3 linked regions of the Arabidopsis thaliana genome follow. The protein of the gene in region 3 interacts with the protein of the main gene of each other region in a pairwise test. Each region holds a gene or a part of one and is shown on either strand. Other genes may lie near its edges.

What was found.
Region 1: the proteins of AT1G15385 (region 3) and AT3G08530 interact in a two-hybrid assay, tested with the Arabidopsis thaliana proteins (one large-scale study listed by BioGRID).
Region 2: the proteins of AT1G15385 (region 3) and AT3G14780 interact in a two-hybrid assay, tested with the Arabidopsis thaliana proteins (one large-scale study listed by BioGRID).

Annotation. Positions count from the first base shown.
Region 1 is NC_003074.8:2,591,364-2,599,465, reverse strand, and holds the start of AT3G08530 (Clathrin, heavy chain), read left to right. Parts: upstream 1-3,811; 5' UTR 3,812-4,054; coding exon 4,055-4,099; intron 4,100-4,451; coding exon 4,452-4,656; intron 4,657-4,762; coding exon 4,763-4,851; intron 4,852-4,968; coding exon 4,969-5,047; intron 5,048-5,122; coding exon 5,123-5,250; intron 5,251-5,352; coding exon 5,353-5,451; intron 5,452-5,531; coding exon 5,532-5,640; intron 5,641-5,747; coding exon 5,748-5,827; intron 5,828-5,910; coding exon 5,911-6,138; intron 6,139-6,224; coding exon 6,225-6,290; intron 6,291-6,417; coding exon 6,418-6,534; intron 6,535-6,627; coding exon 6,628-6,825; intron 6,826-6,908; coding exon 6,909-7,025; intron 7,026-7,121; coding exon 7,122-7,181; intron 7,182-7,373; coding exon 7,374-7,460; intron 7,461-7,585; coding exon 7,586-7,669; intron 7,670-7,757; coding exon 7,758-7,892; intron 7,893-7,980; coding exon 7,981-8,043; intron 8,044-8,102. Other genes in the region: KOB1 (elongation defective 1 protein / ELD1 protein), read right to left, coding at 1-208, 320-407, 537-583, 691-832, 1,039-1,226, 1,327-1,371, 1,492-1,626, 1,716-1,824 and 3 more.
Region 2 is NC_003074.8:4,959,986-4,967,170, reverse strand, and holds AT3G14780 (callose synthase), read left to right. Parts: upstream 1-3,601; 5' UTR 3,602-3,705; coding exon 3,706-3,946; intron 3,947-4,086; coding exon 4,087-4,187; intron 4,188-4,369; coding exon 4,370-4,491; intron 4,492-4,595; coding exon 4,596-4,917; intron 4,918-5,016; coding exon 5,017-5,274; 3' UTR 5,275-5,394; downstream 5,395-7,185. Other genes in the region: RHM3 (rhamnose biosynthesis 3), read right to left, coding at 296-739, 830-2,389.
Region 3 is NC_003070.9:5,290,213-5,296,168, forward strand, and holds AT1G15385 (cotton fiber protein), read right to left. Parts: upstream 3,127-5,956; 5' UTR 2,986-3,126; coding exon 2,764-2,985; 3' UTR 2,500-2,763; downstream 1-2,499. Other genes in the region: GLYI4 (Lactoylglutathione lyase / glyoxalase I family protein), read left to right, coding at 743-897, 1,003-1,108, 1,812-2,075; PDF1A (peptide deformylase 1A), read left to right, coding at 4,441-4,851, 4,932-5,021, 5,105-5,413; AT1G15400 (uncharacterized protein), read right to left, coding at 5,807-5,834.

The DNA.
Region 1 (8,102 bases), on a different chromosome or scaffold from region 3:
GAGGGATGGCTGATTCAGCCTCAAGAAGGTGCCTTGCAGAGATGCCCTCAGACTTGCTTTCCTTTGATGGAAGGGACTCAGATGCAGTAGACCTGGATGAGTTGCTTTTGTGAATTGATGATAAGAACTTTTTCTTTGACAGATTTGTAGAAGCTGATGAGACAACCGAGCTGAAGACACCAGATTCTTTCAATGCTTGTATAACAACCTGCATTTTACCACAAATGTATATAATATTTTACAATTGACTTGCAAGAACTCAACATTCCAGGACTTGTGTTTGGAATTTTGTATAATGAATTGCAGAGTATGTTCTTACCATTGGTGAATAGATGCGAGTCAGAATACCCTTCCTAAGGAGTTTCGTCTTCACGTCTTTGTCACCCCACACAACGTGTTCACGGTACCTACACAGGGTAGATTACTTTTTGATCAAGACCAGATATTTTTGTAATCACAATAGGACCAAACTTGTTCAAAGAGTGTCAGAAGTTATCTATTTCACAAGTAACCAAGAACGATGCTAAGGCTCTTACCAGCTTAGCATTTCTTCGTCAGTTGCTGTTGACGCAATTATAAATGCCTACAATGTTGATCCATACAGCATCATAAAAGGGTAAGAGGAAGTGAAATATAGAGATTTTAAGAAATGACTAAGGACTTTTAGAGATTTTAAGAAAAGATGCTCACAGATCTGTCAAAGTCCAACATAAAGCATCTTTTCACGTCTTCTTTTGTAGGCTTACAGCCACATCGATCACGCCTGGATGTTAAGTCAGAAAATTTTGAATATGTGTAGTGTAGGACAGCAGCCTCCTCCAATTTGATCTCACTAGCAAGAATCATCAGGTTAGTATTTCCAAAAAAAAATTGGCTTCACAAACAGAAAAAATTAACTACGCTGTTAACCGGAACTCCACTCCACTGCTAACTCCTTTAAGATAGTTACATGGTTCTATATTAGAGTAACAACAAAGTCCTATCATGTTCCTCAACCAATAGAAAATTTAGTTATGTTTGAATATATGATAGACATACTTGGGAGTTTTCATGTAATTATGCCATCTGTGTGCTCCATTTGGACGAAGGTGATCTTGAACCCGAGCAACTGATTTGCCGTTACCATAAGTCAAAAAGTAATTTGGATTATTTCGTGTTGCTTCTTTGTACATTCCAAAATATGTATCTTTTGGAAGATGATCATAATTCTTCTTGAACATTGACACCTGCTTGCACCACACATATCTCAGAAGTAATACTAACATAACAAACAAATATTAATAAACCTACTCTCTTACGTAAAGACAGTAATAAACTGAATTATACCTCTGTAAAAGGATCCTTGATATCATCTCTTTCTACGCTGCTTTCCTAAACAACAAAATCCAAAAGCATTATTCATAGCAAAGGCCAGATCATAAAAGAAACTTTAGACTCACAAAACTAGCTGAAAATAAGCAATGCAAGAAGTGTGAATGAGATATCACTCACGTAATTTGGAAATATAACCATATCCACATTTGGAGGAACATCAAGCAGCAACCGTCTTAGTGAGTACTCACGAGCACCTGCTGGGTATATCAGCTCATCAGTGTCAAGATGAAGTATCCAATCCATGCCCGCATCCTGATATTTAGTAAGAACAAGAAAAATGAGAATGTAACATGAGACATGAGTCAAAACTGAACCAAATAAGGTCTAAAAGAAATACTTACCCTAGCCATGACAATAGCCATTTCCATGTTGAGAGATTGTTTGACAAATAACTCATAATTGCAGGGCTTATAAAAGAAAGACGAAAGCCAGGTCTCATTCCAAATCCGGCTGATGAAACAAAACAAAAAAGAATGACAGTAAAATGATCAGTAGTAGAAAATACAACAAAACAATGCTACAATTTCAGAATATACAACAAAACATGTGTTTAGTGCCTTGAAGAGCTATAGCTTTGTCGCAAATATGCAATGGGATAACTAACTAACCTCTTCGCTTGCTTCTCCTCAAGCTCTTTCGTCCTGTATATTACTTTAACACCCTGCAAGAGACATGGGACTACATTTATCGAAAACTGCATACCTTAAATACAAATTTATACCTACAGGACTAAAGAGCTAGAGATATACAGCCAAAACAAAATAAACAGTGGACGCGAAGAGAGGTAGTTCAACTCACAGGAATAGACTCGAGCACTTTAGAAATACTCGGAGTAGCAGCTTTCCCTTCAACGAAAAGGAAGAATGTTGAGACGCCTAGAACCTTATGGTAGAACATCCATGGTAGAATCTGATCCAATCCAGCTGATGTGCTAGTCGTGATACATATCTGTAAACAGTAACAATGTCAAGAATCATATACAACATGGAGCACAAAAAGTGAGGTGACTTTACAAAGACAGATCTGATCAAAAAATGAACTTTGGTATTTCTCAAATCTCTATAATCCAATAAAAAAAGAACAACTTGATATTTCAGATTAGACATTGTAGTAAGATTTAAGAAAAAAAAAAGGAATTTGGAAGTGTAGATCGATCCAAAGACTTGAAATCAGGGGAATTGAAAGTAGTAACCTTAGGCTTTAAGCTAGTATCAACACCAAACTTCCAATCAGCATAGTAAGGAAAAGAAGGAGAAGAGCTGCGAGCTAGATTTGAGCAGTCGGAGGAGGATTGGTGAGACTTTGGGGAGACAGATGAAACAGTCTCCATGCCGGGAAAGACCTCGTGATTGAGATCGGAGCCGCCAGGAACCGACGTAGAGGAACGAACAGAAGCAGAGGCAGGATCGGCGAGACCACCGCCTCGCCATTGGAGGATAAAGGCGAGACAAGCAAGGGAAACTGGAAGTAGAGTAAGGAGAAGGAGGAGCCTAGAGACGAATGAATGGTTTTGGGAAGAAGATGAAGATGAGGAAGAAGCAGATATTAGTGGAGCTCTGTGATGGTGAGTCGATTTCATGGTTAGCTCCACCACTTTGAAAAACAAAAAAAAGTTTCGGAGGAAGAAGACGAAGAAGAAGAAGAAAGACGCGATTCTGAGATCTTTCTTTTTATTTTATTTTCGTGTTTTGGTCGTCTGAGATCTCATCGGTAAAATTAAACTTTACTAACTAAATCTAATTGATTATCAATTCATCTCATTTTATTATGTATAAAAATTGGGAGATTTTCTTCCATTTTTTTTCTTAATCTTTCTCAACTGGATTTGAATTGATAGATTGGAAACATGTACCAACACAAAGAACAGAAGCAATTACACAGGGAGAAACAAATCTCCACACACTAAGCCACTATAAGCTAATAACAACAATAACCTATACAAAACAACAGAGCCATATAACAAAAAAAAAACCAATTCAACCAGGGGAAATGACTCTTTCATCACAGAAAACTGAATGGAACCAAGACGGATGACTTGATGCAACATACAATTGCAACCTGCAATCATCAGTGATACTCTATGACATAATATTCCTTCTTCTTTTGGATCAGATTAATTAAGTTTTGTTTCTAATTATTAAGTCATGACACTTCTTCCATTCTTAATTATTAAGTTTTTTTTTTCTTGTATCAAATCTTTAATTATTAAGTTTTTTAAAAAAAATTATTAAAAGTCATGACACTTCTTCCATTCTTAATTATTAAGTTTTTTTCTTGGATCAAATCTTAATTATTAAGTCATTTATTGTTGTTTCACCTAAGGTACCTTCATTTAAAAGCACCAATTAAAATATTTCACGTGTCGTCTCATTAGAAATTCGGATGCTTAGAGCCCAGTAAGGACCGATATGGGCCGGACCTGGTTATAAATGTAAGACTCTAATTGGATCGCTGTTCGTCATTACTTACCCATATATATTTGTTATTCTTCTTTTCTCAATTTTCTTTCTCTTTCCATCACCTTTCTCGTTCACTTGCTTCAGATCTGGCAGCGATTTCATTTCTTCTCCAGTCTTTCTCTCGTCTCGGTTCTATCTCCTGGCCATTGGCGGTCAGGACTTCTCAGCCGTATATTTGATTCCGTCCCCGGATTTACTCTTGCTGTGATCTGAGGTCAAACATGGCGGCTGCCAACGCCCCCATCACGATGAAGGAGGTCCTGACGGTGAGTTCTCCTTACTCTTCACTCTTATCTTTGAATATTTAGATGTGTATCTCCTGGAATCGACCGTGATTTTCTACGATTAAGCTCTGTTCAGTCTCTTGATTGATTGATTCCAGTTTCCTACTGATCTGAATTCTGCTCGATCGTTGTGTTACTCTCTAGTTTTTCCGGATCGCTTGTTTGGGAATGCATGTTTCTGATCAGATTTCTCTAACTATGCTCAGATCTGTGTTTCGTTAATATATCAATGCCGAATTTCAAGTTGTTGTCTGTAGCAATGTGCTTATGTACTCGGATCTCATAACTAAATAAATGAACTATTTGACGTAACGCTTCATCTTGATTTTTCCAGCTTCCGAGCATCGGGATCAATCAGCAATTCATCACGTTTACAAATGTTACTATGGAGTCTGACAAGTATATCTGTGTACGAGAGACGTCACCGCAAAACAGTGTTGTAATTATAGATATGAATATGCCGATGCAGCCTCTTAGGAGGCCTATTACTGCAGACTCTGCTCTTATGAACCCAAACTCGAAGATCCTTGCCTTGAAAGGTACTTGATTTTTTCCTTTGATCTAAAACCCATAACGGTTTCCTCGAATTCGTAGTTCATAATCCACTTATCTTGATGTTCACTTTTTACTTCAATATTTATGTAGCTCAAGTTCCAGGAACTACTCAGGATCATCTACAGATATTTAACATTGAAGCCAAAGCAAAGTTGAAATCACATCAGATGCCTGAGCAGGTGAGTGTTGATGCAAATATATTTGAACTCCATTATCGTTCCTGCTATACACTTCGTATAACTCTGAATTTTTCAGTCGGGTTTTTTTTTGGATAATAATGTTTCATGTTTTTACAGGTTGTCTTTTGGAAGTGGATTACACCAAAGATGTTGGGGCTGGTCACACAGAATTCCGTCTATCATTGGTCAATTGAAGGTTGTATATTTCAGCCTACTGTCATTTTCTTCATATCTTGTGTTTTCGTTTCTAATTTTCCTTCGGGTTTTATAGGTGATTCTGAGCCAGTTAAGATGTTTGATAGAACAGCCAATTTGGCCAACAATCAAATTATAAACTATAAGTGCTCTCCTAATGAGAAGTGGTTGGTTTTAATTGGAATTGCTCCTGGCTCTCCTGAGGTAAGTTTACTGCGCCACATATTAGGTCAAAAAAAGACATCAAAACTGCTTTCATGTTGTAGATTCTTGACTGATCTTGTCATTATTATCTGTTTTCTGTAGAGACAACAATTGGTAAAAGGAAATATGCAGCTTTTCTCTGTGGATCAACAGCGGAGTCAGGCCCTTGAGGCACATGCTGCATCGTTTGCGCAGTTTAAGGTAACGTCTTTGTTCTTTGGTGAGTTCATCTATGGTCTAATCTTGAACTGTAGTTTGACTTGCAACACTATTAATATTAGGTTCCTGGGAATGAGAATCCTTCTATTCTTATATCATTTGCAAGCAAGAGCTTTAATGCTGGGCAGATAACATCAAAGTTGCATGTCATTGAGCTTGGTGCCCAACCTGGTTAGCTCCCCGACGCAAAACTATATCTTCACTGTTATTTAATATAATTGGTTACGTTTTCTAGGTTGTATTCATCTGATCTTTAAAGGTTGGCGATTTTTTTGCAGGAAAACCATCATTTACAAAAAAACAAGCAGATCTCTTTTTTCCCCCTGATTTTGCTGATGATTTTCCTGTTGCCATGCAGGTTTGCTATTGCATTAGAATTTCAGTTATATGTGTAAGTAGTTAGTGACAATTTCTGGCACTAATTTCTCATTTTCCTGACAGGTCTCTCACAAATTTAACTTGATATATGTTATCACCAAACTTGGCCTGTTGTTTGTGTACGATCTAGAGACTGCTTCTGCTATCTACAGAAATCGGATTAGTCCAGACCCAATTTTCTTGACTTCTGAAGCTTCCTCAGTTGGGGGTTTCTATGCCATTAATAGGCGAGGACAAGTTCTTTTGGCTACAGTAAACGAGGCTACCATTATACCTTTTATTAGTGGCCAAGTATGCTAATCTTTTATGCTATTTTCCCGTTATAACCTACCCTTTTCATCATGTCATGCTAAGAAATCTATGCTTTTGTATCACAGTTGAACAATTTGGAGCTTGCTGTCAATCTTGCTAAAAGAGGAAACCTCCCAGGTGCAGAAAATCTGGTATGCGATGTTTATCATGGATCTGTTGTCTCGGTGAAGTAATTATATAGTTGTTAAATGGCAGCTTGAAGAAAAAAAATGTCATTTGGTATTGTGAAGTTTCTCATATTCTGCTCGGATGTTGTAGGTTGTCCAGCGGTTCCAGGAGTTGTTCGCTCAAACAAAGTACAAGGAGGCTGCTGAGCTTGCTGCTGAATCTCCTCAAGGAATTCTAAGGACACCTGATACAGTGGCCAAATTCCAGGTGTCTATTTCATATCCAAGCAACTATGTGTAAACATGTTTATTTATGATGAAATGTTGGTAACACCAATTTTTCAACTCTATAATTTTGCAGAGTGTTCCTGTACAAGCTGGACAAACTCCTCCATTGTTACAGTATTTTGGGACTCTTTTGACTAGAGGGAAACTCAATTCATATGAGTCACTGGAACTATCTCGGCTGGTTGTGAACCAAAACAAGAAGAACCTCCTGGAAAACTGGTTGGCAGAGGATAAACTAGAATGCAGTGAAGAACTTGGAGACCTTGTGAAGGTAATCTTGAAATGGACGATTTTATTCAAAATGTGTGATATGTCTCCTATGGTGTGTTGTGACGATAAACCTTTCTGTTCCAGACTGTGGATAATGATCTCGCTCTGAAAATATACATCAAAGCTCGGGCGACTCCAAAAGTTGTAGCAGCTTTTGCAGAAAGAAGGGAGTTTGACAAAATACTGATTTACTCAAAGCAGGTAAGCAATAAGATCTATAGTATAACCTCTTCTATTATTTTTACCCTAAAGTTCTGTTGTCTCATGAATTACCATTGTTTCATATTGTGACTTCAGGTTGGGTACACACCTGATTACCTGTTTCTTCTGCAAACCATACTCCGTACAGATCCTCAGGTTAGTGTGGTGCACTCTTGATACTTGCAACATACTAAACTATGAAAGGACTTTACTGAATATATGTGGCGTAAGCACTGGAAGAGTTATGAATCAACTAACTTGTTGAATAATTTGACCTGATGTTATATAGAATGAAGAATCTTTTTCCCACCGTATTAATATCAATAGTCTTTTAATTTTTATTTGCAGGGAGCAGTAAATTTTGCATTAATGATGTCTCAAATGGAAGGAGGTTCTCCAGTTGACTACAACACCATCACTGATCTTTTTCTTCAGGTAGGTCAATATATTCTGTATGCACCAATATTTGTAGCTCATTACTTGTTCTACTCCTATATACAGAATTGTATACAGTAGATGTAAATTATCATGTGCTTATTTGTCTATTTGTGCATATTCAGAGAAATCTGATCCGTGAAGCGACTTCTTTCCTTCTGGATGTGCTAAAGCCAAATTTACCTGAGCATGCTTTTCTGCAAACTAAGGTTGAAAATAGTTGCCACCTTGTATCTCTCCGTTTTTTTCTCTACTCACCTTCTTTCCCCAGACTGTTTAAATCATTTTTCAACACAGGTTCTGGAGATAAATTTGGTAACTTTTCCTAATGTGGCTGATGCGGTATTAGCAAATGGGATGTTCACCCACTATGACCGGCCTCGCATTGCTCAACTTTGTGAAAAGGCTGGACTTTATATCCAATCCTTGAAGGTTGGTACATGTTTTTTACCATTTTTACCGGCCAAATAGATTTATCATCTTCTCACCTTCCAACTTCTTTTCCTTTTGATTTGTGCAGCATTACTCAGAGTTACCTGATATAAAACGTGTAATTGTAAACACACATGCTATCGAGCCACAGGTAGTGCCTCTGAAATATATTTTGGTTGTTAAACCTACTAAGTGGTCAAGTTGTTGCAT
Region 2 (7,185 bases), on a different chromosome or scaffold from region 3:
AAGTTAAAGTCAATTTTGTTTCTTCTTTTTCTATATCTTGCTTAACATGAAAACAAAACAGGGATTATAGAATAGGAGTAGGAGGAACCAATAATGAAAGGAGAGACAACTCCAACAAATCGATCTGTGTAATAACATTAATGGAAAACAAAGATGTGTTGTGACGTAGAATGAGTGAAGACAGCTACATGCAAGTCGTAGAATGCAAAAAAAGAGAGTAAATGAATCAGATAAAACTATAGTAGAAACATTATAGTGAACACAGAGCGGGGAAGTGCGTGTGTGTGTCTGTGTTTTACGTTCTCTTGTTAGGTTCGAAGACGTATTTGATCAACGAATCTTTGATGGAAAGCATCTCTGGAAACTCCTTGCTGAGCTTGGCACCATCCATCTCGTTGTTGCTCCGTGGAGCAACAATGACCTTAGCCTGTTCTTCCAAATTGAAGTTGGACCATTTGAAATCAGGCTCGATGTAACTCTTGTACATCTCTAATATCTCGTTGTGGCTCACCACTCCTGGATTGGTGAAGTTCCATATTCCCCTTAGGTTCCTCTTCGCCATCTCGATCGAGATTGGTAAGAGTTCATCTAGTATGGTCATGCTGTTTGGAATGTTCACCACTTTGTTGTAACGCGAGATCTTCGTGATGAAGTTTCGCGGGTTATTTAAGTCAGATGAGATTGGCATCCGCACTCTCAAGGTGCATACGTTGTCAAATTCTCTTAGAAGCTCTTCCACCTGGCAAAAATAGAAACAAGAGGATTTTTTATGGACAGAGTTCAAGAGACTGAGGATCAGATGTGATTTGGTTATGTGATATTATCTTACCATTGCCTTTGTTTTTGAGTAGAAAGAACCAGTGAAATTCGGTTTATCTTCTTCCTTAAAACCAATCCCTGAACCTTCTGGATGTGCAGCGTCATACTCGAATATACAACCAGTGGCAAAGTTCATCATCAACAGATCATTCTCTCTGCAAACATCTGCAAGAGTCAAAGTTCCAGCAACGTTGACTCGGATGGTTTCAGTTTTGTGAGATTCACACCAGTCAACATTGGGTCTCCCAGTTAAACCAGCGGCGTTGAAGACATGACTTGGTTTGATGCTGCGAATATCTGCGATGAGAGAAGCTCTATCCTCTAGTCTTCCTTTTCCATACTCGTAAGGAATCCCTTGTTTCTCACATAGTTTTCCCAGAAGACCACCGAGCCACCCAGTCTTCCCATAGATGAGGAACTTCAAGGATCTTTTGTCTCCGGAACAACCAGCCTTGGTGGGAGTAACCACCGTGAATGTCTGATTACCATCTGCATTCTTGTGCTCGTCAGAGCCATCAGAGTGTCGGTCACCGGGCATCATCAACATCCGTGGATGAGGAAGCAGAGCTCCAGAAACATCGCCCCACCACTCAGGGTTCTCAGTATACCATTCCATTGTCTTCCTCAGTCCTTCTTCCCAATTGGTTCGCTCACACCATCCTAATTTCTTCAGCTTCTGGTCATCGAGGAAGTACCTCTGGTCATTGAATGGCCGGTTTTCCACATACTGAATGGTGGAGTCAGGGTCTATCCCAAAGAGTTTACTGATGTCATTAGCCACATCAATCACTCTCCTTTCTCTCGTTGTCCCTATATTGTAGACATGGTTAACTTCCCCTTTGTGAAGAACAACCTCAAATGCCTCAGCAACATCTTCGCAGTAGAGATAACTTCTCACATTAGATCCATCTCCGTGGATTGGGAGAGGCTTCCCATTCATGGCCAAGAGGATGAACTTAGGAATCAACTTTTCAGGAAACTGGTTAGGACCATAAACATTGTTCCCGCGAGTTGTTATAACCGGCAACCCATATGATCTACCATATGCCATGACAAGCATCTCAGCTCCAGCTTTAGTGGCGGAGTATGGATTAGTTGGGAGCAACTGAGAAGCCTCGTGATTACCCACTGAAGCATCCTCATCAGTCTCTCCATAGACCTCATCAGTACTCACATGGATGAACCTCCTGATCTGGCCAGTGACTTTACAAGCTTCCAAAAGGACATGGGTACCATAAATATTGTTCTTGGTAAACTCAAAGCTATTACCGAAAGAATTGTCAACATGGGTTTGAGCAGCAAAGTGCATAATGGTGTCGATTTCTTCAGTGATGAGAAGGTAGTTGACGAGATCAGCACTGGCGATATCTCCTTTCACAAACTTGAAGTTGGGAGAGGATTTAGAAGGATTAAGGTTCTTCAGATTAGAACAGTAATCAAGCTTGTCAAGCACAACAATTTTGTAGTCAGGGTAGCTGCGAACTAGTCTGTTAGCAACATGAGAGGCTATGAATCCAGCAGCCCCAGTGATGAGGATGTTCTTAGGCTTATATGTAGCCATCTGCAACATCAAAACCCATGAAAATTCAATTCAGAAAAGCTTCATTGACAGACGAAACAGCACAAGAAAAACTTCATCTTGCGACATTTAATCAAACAGTTAGACTACACACTAAGCAGAACCATTCAAAAATCTATCCTTTTTTACAAAATTTCACTGTGTGATTCAGTACAATCAAAGTCATGAGATTCGAATTGATAAAAGGACAAGCTACAACTATTAATCCAAAATTCGAAATGATCAAGGAAAAAATAAGGCAGATCTAGATCCAGAAGTATGTATGACAAATGTAGCAAATCCAAATACGCTAAAATTTCCCAGATTTAGCAGCAGATCCAGTGGAAAACGATGAGAAAGCATCATGAACCGAAAAAAAAAAAAAAACTTCAGGATACGGCATCAAACGCAGAACGAAGACGTACAATAACGAATTGAGCTTAGAGATTTATAGAGAATTGAGGGAAAGAGAAAGAGTTCACATACCGGATCGATTCAGATCAAGATGAAGATGAACCCAAGCTTGAAGAATATGCAGAGATGGATTAAAGGAGGGAAAAATCGAGGAGAGGAGAGAGATCAATGGAAATAAATAAAAAAAGGAGTGTGAAGAAAGAGAGGGAACGAAGGAAAACGAATGAGCGTCTCAAATGAGTAATTTTGAGACAGTTACGGAGAACCAGTGGGAGACTACGCAATGACCAAATTACCCATTACTACTACTACTACGCTTTAGAAATTAATTTCATCACACATTCAAACTAAACAAATAGTTAGAACAAAAATTACCATTAATAAAATGGTAATAAATAAAATGATAATTTTGAACACATCGACTACTCATCTATGATTTGTACCGAAAGATGACTAAAAAAGTTTGTTTTACAAAAAAAAAAAAGATGACTAATTTTTTTTAATACATTTTACAATTTGGTTTGATTTGGACATCAAGTTATTTTTGTAGTCTATATTTTGGTATATTCTTGGTGGCTAAGAAATATATACATATGCTTTAATTATATTCCAATTCATAAGATTTAGTCTATCTCAACTTGTTTTAATGGTTTTTCTTTTCCCATGCACGTTGATATTATCGTGTAAAGTGTAAACTTTTGCTAGGAAACCACTTTCTCTAGTACCAAACTAGTAGAAAGCATTTTTCTCCTCCAATAAATCACTTTTAATTAACACTTCAAACACCGTCTTTACATTGTTTATTTTATAGAATTCCACCTCGCTAAGCAAGTGCTGCTTTATATAATTAATTCCATCTCCAATGTTATCTCCATGCCAACTAAAACAATAGAAGAAGCAGCTTTCATCTCCCAATGTCGTCTAACGAAATCGCCCCTGTGGATCCTACCGATGTTTTTCTTGATATGGATCCCATCCTCCCGGAAGATTCGCCGGCAACCAGCTTGTTCACGAGACCCCTCGCTTTGAAAGAACAATATGTGTGGGAGCCCTATGACAGCGAGAAGCTTCCGGAGACATTAGCCTCAGGGATTCAAAGGTTTCTTCGTGTAGCAAACTTGGTTGAGTCTGATGATCCTCGTGTTGCTTATCTATGTGAGTTTACTTTACTCTCGTCTAATTCCCTAAATTTGAGTACTACTTTAGGATTTTCTCTGTTTTTGAGTCGAAATTCACGCTTTCTTGTTAAAGAATCATAATTTATATGTTAATCTTTTTATTTTTTCTGGTCGTAGGCCGTTTTTATACTTTTGAAGAAGCTCACCGCATTGACAGTAGATCTAACGGAAGAGGTGTACGACAGTTCAAAAATTCTCTTCTTCGAAGGCTAGAGAAGGCAAGTCACCTAAGAGTAGAAAACGTGACACTGATTCTAGCTAGTTTCTTGATTTTTTTTAAGATATGACCGATCATATGAATGGTGTGGATCAGTCTCCGGATAATTCATGAAATTTCTAACCTTATATATTAAGTTGTTATGTTGTTTGTCTTGATCTTTAATTTGTTTACTTGTAGTAGGATGACGAGTTTACTATAAGAAGAAGAAAGGAAATAAATGATCATAAGGAACTCAAACGTGTTTATCATGCTTACAATGAATACATCATCAGACATGGTGCATCATTCAATTTGGATAATAGGTATATATATATCCTCCATTTTTAAAAAAATCTACTGACTATTGCTAGTTCTAGTTCAATTTCAACGAACCAACATTAACCTATGGAAATTTATCTGAATATAGTCAGCAAGAGAAGTTGATAAATGCACGCAGCATTGCTTCTGTTTTATATGAAATTCTAAGGAAAATCGAATCAAGTATGGGCCGTGCCTCAACCCCAGAAAGTATACAATTAAACCGGGATGAGGAGATTGGTGAGCTCCTTGATATGGACACCTCAATGGAGGAGACCAACAAGATAAATTCGGACGAGACCTTTGTCGACCAAAAAGCCGAGTTGGTAGTTGAGAAGAGCAAAGTCTTAGAGGACGAGAGACTAACTCAAATGTTTCAAGGAGACCACCAATATCTCACCCAAGATGAAAAAGATGACATATACAAAGAGGTGACACTTTTGAATTTTTAAAAATTATTTATTTTCTAACAATAATTTTATAAGTTATCAACTAACTTTCTTTTAAAAGTATTTTTTTGGGGGTTTTAGGAGGTTCAAATAAAGAAAGACAAACGTTTTGCATATGGATCAATGAAGGCGGTTCCATCTTTGTTTTACGAAGATAAGTATCTCGAGACACAAGAAAAGTTGAACAAGCTGGAGAAGAAGATTGAAGAGATGGAGCTGAAACTCAAGGATGTCGACTTTTGGACTAACATGATGCAAAACATGTTTCCAGACCAAGTACCTCCATCTATGAGAGCAAACCAAACCGATAACAACAAAAACGACAAACTAAGCCTTTAAATTTTATCTTCTATCTAGTTGTTCTATTCCTATGGTTTGTAAGACACTAAATATTTACATTTAAGTTATCTTTGAACTTATGTTTTCGAATATTTAATTAGTTTACAAATTATATTTTTGTCTACGAATTGCATGACAGGAAAAAAGAGAGAGATCTAATTCCTTAAAACATATATTCAAAATACGGATCTATTTGATAAAAGAATAGAAAAGTAGATCAAAGTTTTATTTTAAATATGGAAAATATTAATAACTAGAGTATGTATGGAATTAATTTTGTATAGATACTGCTTGGAAATATAATCCATTTTGAAACGGTAAAACAAAAAGAATTTATTATTTTTAATGTAAGAGAAGATTTTTCTTTTTTAACCATCGTAGTTGATAATCACTTTTTTTGCGGTGCATATGGCACACTACCGATGGAGCTGGCTTGTTCAATAATTTAACAACAACTTCTACCTATCAATTCTCAGCCACACTTATTTTTTAACCCATGCGTTTTTTTTTTTTTATTGTACGATTCAAGGAAATTGCGACAGAGGAAATATTTGCACGTTTAGAAATACACAAATTATTTGTTGATGTCTACGTGATGTGATTTATTGATTTATGTATCTCAAACTTTTTCGGACACATTCATCATAACTTGTTAACTTTTAATTCGACAAGGCCTGGTCATAATTATTTAGAAAAATAACAAAACTAGACACATTTGATTACTTAGGTTATATATTTCTCCTTTTGACAAAAAAAAGGTTATATATTTCTCCGTTTAATTAAATTATATAATGAATAACATCATATTCAAAACCAAGACATTCAGAGCGCCACAAATATTTTAAAATCAATAGCAAAAGTCTCCTAATGACTTTTCTTTTGCTTAATTCACGTGTTTTTCTGGTTAATCTAGTTGATATTTCTACGTAATTGTTCAAAAATAAAATATATTCTACGTTACATTATAAATCAAATATTTATTTTATTTAATGCCGTATACATTTTGTATACACCCGAAATCGAATGGTATATATAATTTCTGAAAATTGGATAAGCTTAAGTGCTTAGCCACTTGATTACTACAATGTCGTAATTAGATCATTCACGTAATTAAAATTTAAAACAAATGTTCTGAATGGTTGGTGACAGACTGACAGTGACTAATGGATAAACTCATGTGTCTCGCGCTCGATTATCGGCTTATTACATGAGTTATGTTATATAGGTTATAATGGTTATTGTAAAGAGAAAGGTTTAAATCTGTTTAACCAATCAGCTTAATGAAGAATAAATGTGTCACAAAGTAAAAGTCAAACCCATTGAATACATATATAGAATAGAAAAATTCGTGATATTAGCGTAACGTTAGCTAGATTGAAAGATTGATTGTCCCACGCTTTGTTATACAGATCGCGTGGCGTCGTACTTTAAACATACTTCAGCGAAACAGCGACATGGCTTAATCAACTATATCATCGGTAATTTGATATATCAATAAAGTGATTTATCGGAAAAACGTTAATTTCTTCACAAGTTGGAGTATATGTATTCACTCGCGTACGTAAGTTATAATTTCAGATAACGTAGATAATAACTTCACTCATAATATAAATGATTGTACTTTAATTGTAATAATGAGCGTATGAGTAGCGTCTCGCTAGGATAGTATACGTGTTGACCAAATTGAGAGGCAAATCCGCAAATGAGATCCTGAAAGAAGAATAAGTTTATGATGGTTTTCTGGAAACCAAATGGGATTTGATCACTCGAAGGGTTTTATTAACGATGCTCTTAAAAACAGTATAATTGTTATAAAAAGAAAGAAAGTGTAATTTACGTGTGCCATTGGATTTTCTTTTTCCTTAGGGTTTTAAGATTATGATGAGTGACTCAGCGCGAGACACATGAGTT
Region 3 (5,956 bases):
TACGTGTTGAACTAATCCTGACACTACCTGAGGGAGGTAATCACAACATTTTTCATATATAACCGCCCCAATTTCACTGATTTCACCTTTTCCTTTTACCAATCACATCATCCCAATTATTTACGTACTTAGCTTGACTAGTTGTCGTTCATTACAACCATCTTAGGTTTCTTATAATCATTCCTGTTACGTAGTAAAGAACTATTTTACGTAATAGATAAGATTAGATATCAGTTGAAATTATTGACTATATAGACATCCTAATTTTATTTCCATTGTTAAATTTGTTAATATATCTAACTATCAAAACCTAAATCGACGTGTCACACTCAAACTTATAAAGACTAAACCTATTACAAGAAATAAGATCTTATAGGCCGAATTTGTTTGGTACGTTGATGATCCAAATATAAATAATAGTTTTTCTTTTTCTTTTTAATTATGAAAGGTTAAAAATTCATAAAAAAAATTACCCATATTTGCTTAAGACGCTAGCTTTTCTATAAATACAGCATAGCCATGTGTAATTGATCATCAGATAAGTTCCGTGGTTATCCCATTAACCTTCTTTCTACACAACACAAAACTATATATAAAGATCATACATGTAATAACGTCCTGCAACTATTACAATCATTCTCGCTTGAATTAACGTGGACGTCATTGTTTTTGGATTGTTAATCAAAGGCGGCGTTACTTTTTTTTAATATAATTGTTTCTTTAGGATCTTTGTCTCTGGAAAATGAAGGAAGACGCAGGAAACCCTTTGCATCTCACGTCACTGAACCATGTCTCTGTCTTGTGCCGATCCGTCGACGAATCTATGAATTTTTACCAAAAGGTGTTAGGGTTCATCCCGATACGAAGACCTGAATCCTTAAATTTTGAAGGCGCTTGGTAATTTATCATCATTTTATTTAAAATATATCTGAATTTTGAGGGACAAAAAAAGTACCAATGAGTTTAGTTTTTTTACATGTTCTTTTTTTTGGGGGGGTCTAGGTTGTTTGGTCACGGGATTGGAATACACCTCCTGTGTGCCCCAGAACCAGAGAAACTTCCCAAGAAAACTGCGATTAATCCCAAGGATAATCACATCTCTTTCCAGGTAATTTTTCGTGTGTGTTAATTCTCAGTTTTGCCCTGTTTTTTGTTTTTTTCAATAAAACTTTTGTGCTTTTTAAAGCCATAAACCATAATCTACGTTCATACAAGCTCTGTATTTAGATGTTGTCTTAGGATATTTTTCTATATTTATGAACCTTTTGTGCAAAACACAATCTCAGAATTATTTATTATTAAGGAAGAAAATCCAAAATTTGTTAGTTTCCTAAGTAAATGACCCTTAGGATAGAATTTGTTAGTATAGTTTGAATTGGCTTATGATAACTATTGAATGAAAGAAACTGAATTTATGAGAGAACAAAAATATCCTAGAGAAAATGACAAGAGATAAGTTAAGAAGGGAGAGAAAAAAAGGACAATAGAAGGTGGGGTTTTCAGAGGTCAAGTTTTGTGAGTCAGAAGTATTCATTGTTCCATTATTGACAACAAACAATTTTGTTTTATGAATCAAAACATCCTCAACTTTTATAGTTGTGTAATAGAAATGTTAGTTAGGATTATACAACAAACCACTTGGTTTTAAGCATCAAAACATCTTGTGTTTGGTATGTGTGTGAAGAATTTGTGAGACAATTAACAAGAGGAGATCCCAAGTATATAGTTGTTACTCTGTTTTTTGAGCATACATAAGATTATAGTAGAAATTTTGGTCTGAATAATAAGAGTTGTGAATTATGGAAATGCAGTGTGAGAGTATGGGAGTAGTGGAGAAGAAGCTGGAGGAAATGGGGATAGATTATGTAAGGGCATTAGTAGAAGAAGGAGGGATCCAAGTGGACCAGCTCTTCTTCCATGACCCTGATGGCTTCATGATCGAGATTTGCAACTGCGATAGCCTCCCCGTAGTCCCCCTCGTAGGAGAAATGGCTCGGTCCTGCTCAAGAGTCAAACTCCACCAGATGGTGCAGCCACAACCGCAGACTCAGATCCACCAAGTGGTCTACCCTTAATTATAAACAGCTCACTTCTTCTTTATATTGTGTGTGTTTGTGTATTGGTGTGCTTGGTTTTGGGTGTAATATACAATAAGAGACCGATGTGAATCAGCGAATGTGATTCCCTTCGAGGAAATGACCATTCTCTTTGCTCCACAAGCTTATATAATATAATCAAGGGAAATCATGTTTTACATATATGTATATTGGTTAATGTATTTGGTTCGATTTAACTCTTTTGTGCAATGCAACTAAAGAGACTAGACTATTCACTCTCTCAAGAAATGCATTCTAGACCCTCGAAGTTAACGTATATGTTACGAATCTCATATCTACATTGAACGGTCTAACAACAAAAAGGCTTGTAAAGAGATTCCAAGCTAGTTCGTAGAGGCATCCAATACATGTTTGGCTCTCGCATTCCCCTTTTGTTTAGAAGTCACAATTTCAATTGAGAAAGTCTATTGCAAAAATTTGATCCAAATAGAAAAAGTTGATACAGATTGTATTGCTAAGGCACACCTTACATTTCTTATATTGTAATATAAATACCAAGAAATAGAGTTCCACATCTAAAAGAAAGAAGATCTAAAGTAATATATGAAAGCCATAAATCATTCTTCCATACGTTGGAATCCCATGAGATATAACAGTACTATATATACAAGAAAGAAATAATACATGTGTATATTGATAAGTAGTGTTAAGGGCCTTTGGAGAGCATGTTTTCAATGGATTCAAGACGCTGGAGAAGAAGCTGATTTCTGAACTTTGTGATGAAAGCTTCTGCGCTCTTGTCCACGTCCATCGATGCCTTCCTTTCCACCTTCTTATTCATCGTCTCTTTAATAACAATATTAGTGGTACCATTACCACTTTCTTTTGCGGAACTCATCATCATCTTCATGTTCTTGTTGTTGTTCATGGTAGAGATGTGTGTGTAACAGTGCTTGTGTTTCCTTAATTGATTTTGGAGAGAGGGTGAATTGTTATATTTTGGAGATGCTCGAGACCTATGTATTTATAGGGGATTTTCATTTTTTTTTTTATTTTTTTTTAATAAAAAACTGTAGTTAGACATATAGGAAAGGAGAAGACTTATTTCTCTTTACGTAAACCATAGTTGAATGTTGAAGGAATAAAAAGAAATGGAATCTTGAATCTCAAGTTATACACGCGACTTATTAACAATAACAAAAAACGTTATATACGAGACCCATCCATAGTCAGAGAGGAATGATCTACAAAGCACCGTCTCTACTCTCTACTTTATAATTTATATATTTCTTTTTTAAGAAAAAATAAAATATACGTTAATCCTCTATTAACTATTGGAATAACATAGCATCAAATCTAAGATTCTGCTTGAAAGAAATGTAAAAGAGGTTGCCTAACTACATATTAAATTTGAATTTGTTAATTTGGAGAAACAAGGATGCAAGATTCTAGAAAGTTATATATAATTTGACCATTCGTCACTAACCAAAACAATTGGCTTTGTTGTTTTTATATACCACACGAATTACGGCTTAAGCATTGGAGATTGAACTCGTTAACTCACCGCCCACTATTCCCATTGTCGCCGCTCCGGTAACCGGTACCGCTTCTTCTTTACCAAGAAGAACAATAAAATAAAAGAGATTATGTGGCTTAAGTTAGCTTATAACCTAAGTACCTAACTCTAAACCGAACTAATTAGTTTTCGGCAGATTCGTTGAATCATGTATGATATATTGATACACATACTTTTTTTATTAAAATGTATAGAGAATATTGGTTCAAAATTCATTTGCCGTGATCGAAGAATAATGCGATTATCAAAATAAAATAAAATAAGAAGCTTCAAAGCAAACGTACATGGTAGAGTTACAATTTGATTAATTATGAACCGTTATTGGCCATAACCAAACATAAAAATTAATGATTTTGAACCCACTAGTTTAGGATGTTATTTGGTAATTCAAATTTGATTTATCTATTACAGTTTTTAAATTTATTTTTGTTATTACGTAGTTGGCCTGTGGTGGTGGATTGCTCCGGATAACATCACTAACGCATATTTATAATCACACGATTAAAGAGTGTTTTGGTAGTTAATGCATGTAATAGATTATCTTTTCTTTTTGTGCAACGGTAATAGATTACCTAAGGAATATCACAATCGTATTGGACAGATATTGGAAACTAATCAAACTCAAAATTATTATGTTTTATGACAACATTATCTCTATAGAGAATCCCTGTGTTGTCAAAAAGAAAAACAATTATGTATTAGGCCCAAGGAAGAGCAGAACTATCTCATTTCTATTGGGCTATTAAGATAATAGGCTGAAAGAGCGATTTTAGGCCCAAGGAGTCGTATTTCAAGAAATGACGACCGATGGGACTCCACCGAGACGAAGCGACGGCCATGGAAACCCTTTTCAGAGTCTCACTTCGTCTACTTCCGGTTTCCGCCGCCGTGACATGTCGCTCGATCCGATTCCCCGTTTCAAGACCCGGTTCCTCACACTTACTGAACCGTAAGCTGTATAATTTGCCTACTTCTTCTTCCTCCTCTTTGTCGACAAAAGCCGGTTGGTTATTGGGTCTTGGTGAGAAGAAAAAGAAAGTGGATTTACCGGAGATAGTGGCATCTGGTGACCCGGTTCTGCACGAGAAGGCCCGAGAAGTTGACCCGGGAGAAATCGGGTCGGAGCGTATTCAGAAGATAATTGATGATATGATTAAAGTTATGAGATTGGCTCCTGGAGTTGGCCTCGCTGCTCCTCAAATTGGTGTTCCCTTAAGGGTAAGTCTATAAATGCTTTTCCTAGTTTCACCCATTTCGAAGCAAATGATTGAATTAGTGTTTCATGGTGAATGATGCAGATTATTGTATTGGAAGATACAAAAGAGTATATAAGTTACGCACCAAAGGAAGAGATTCTTGCTCAAGAAAGACGTCATTTTGATCTCATGGTAAATAATAGAATCAGAGTGCTTAAGAGTTGTTACAATTTTCGATTAGAACAAAAATGTTGAAGTTTGGGGGTTTTGGTTAGGTGATGGTGAATCCGGTTCTCAAGGAGAGAAGCAACAAGAAAGCTCTTTTCTTTGAAGGATGCTTGAGTGTTGATGGATTCAGAGCTGCGGTGGAGAGATACCTTGAGGTGGTAGTGACGGGCTACGATCGTCAAGGAAAGAGGATTGAAGTGAATGCTTCAGGTTGGCAAGCTAGGATTTTGCAACATGAGTGTGATCATTTGGATGGTAATCTTTACGTTGATAAGATGGTACCACGCACTTTTAGGACAGTCGACAACTTGGACTTGCCTTTAGCTGAGGGCTGCCCTAAGCTCGGACCTCAATGACAGATTCTTCAACAAAAGTTGTAATCTTCTGTTTTGATTCTTTACTAAAACTCTTCTAGATTGAGCTTGACTCAAATAATTTCAAAGATGAAACTTTGTCGGAAAGAGGGTTCTTTTTTCGGGTTTGGTAATGGATTGAAAGATTTTCATTTAATAAAATATTATAACTTGAAGACAGAAGATATTAGTACAATTAAAGACAGCTATTCTACAAATGGTAATGTGATGTTATGCTTACTCCGGACAAGACACGGTGTCGTAGCCGTTTAATGCGGCGGTGAAACGGCCCTCCCCCTCGGCGGGTCCAGTAAGTATATAATTTGAGATACGAATATTAATATTAAATCAAAACATCACATCAGAGCCGTCTAATTCCAATCAAAGCAGATTGATTTATCTTTTCTTGGTCACGATCCGCCGCCTTCTCTGCCAGATTCGAAACCCTAGAGGATTAGTCAGTGAGCCATCGGAAGGGACTTGAACGTTGTTTGATTTTTCTCAAAATGTTTTATACTGAAATCACTTAATCAGATAATTCGCCAA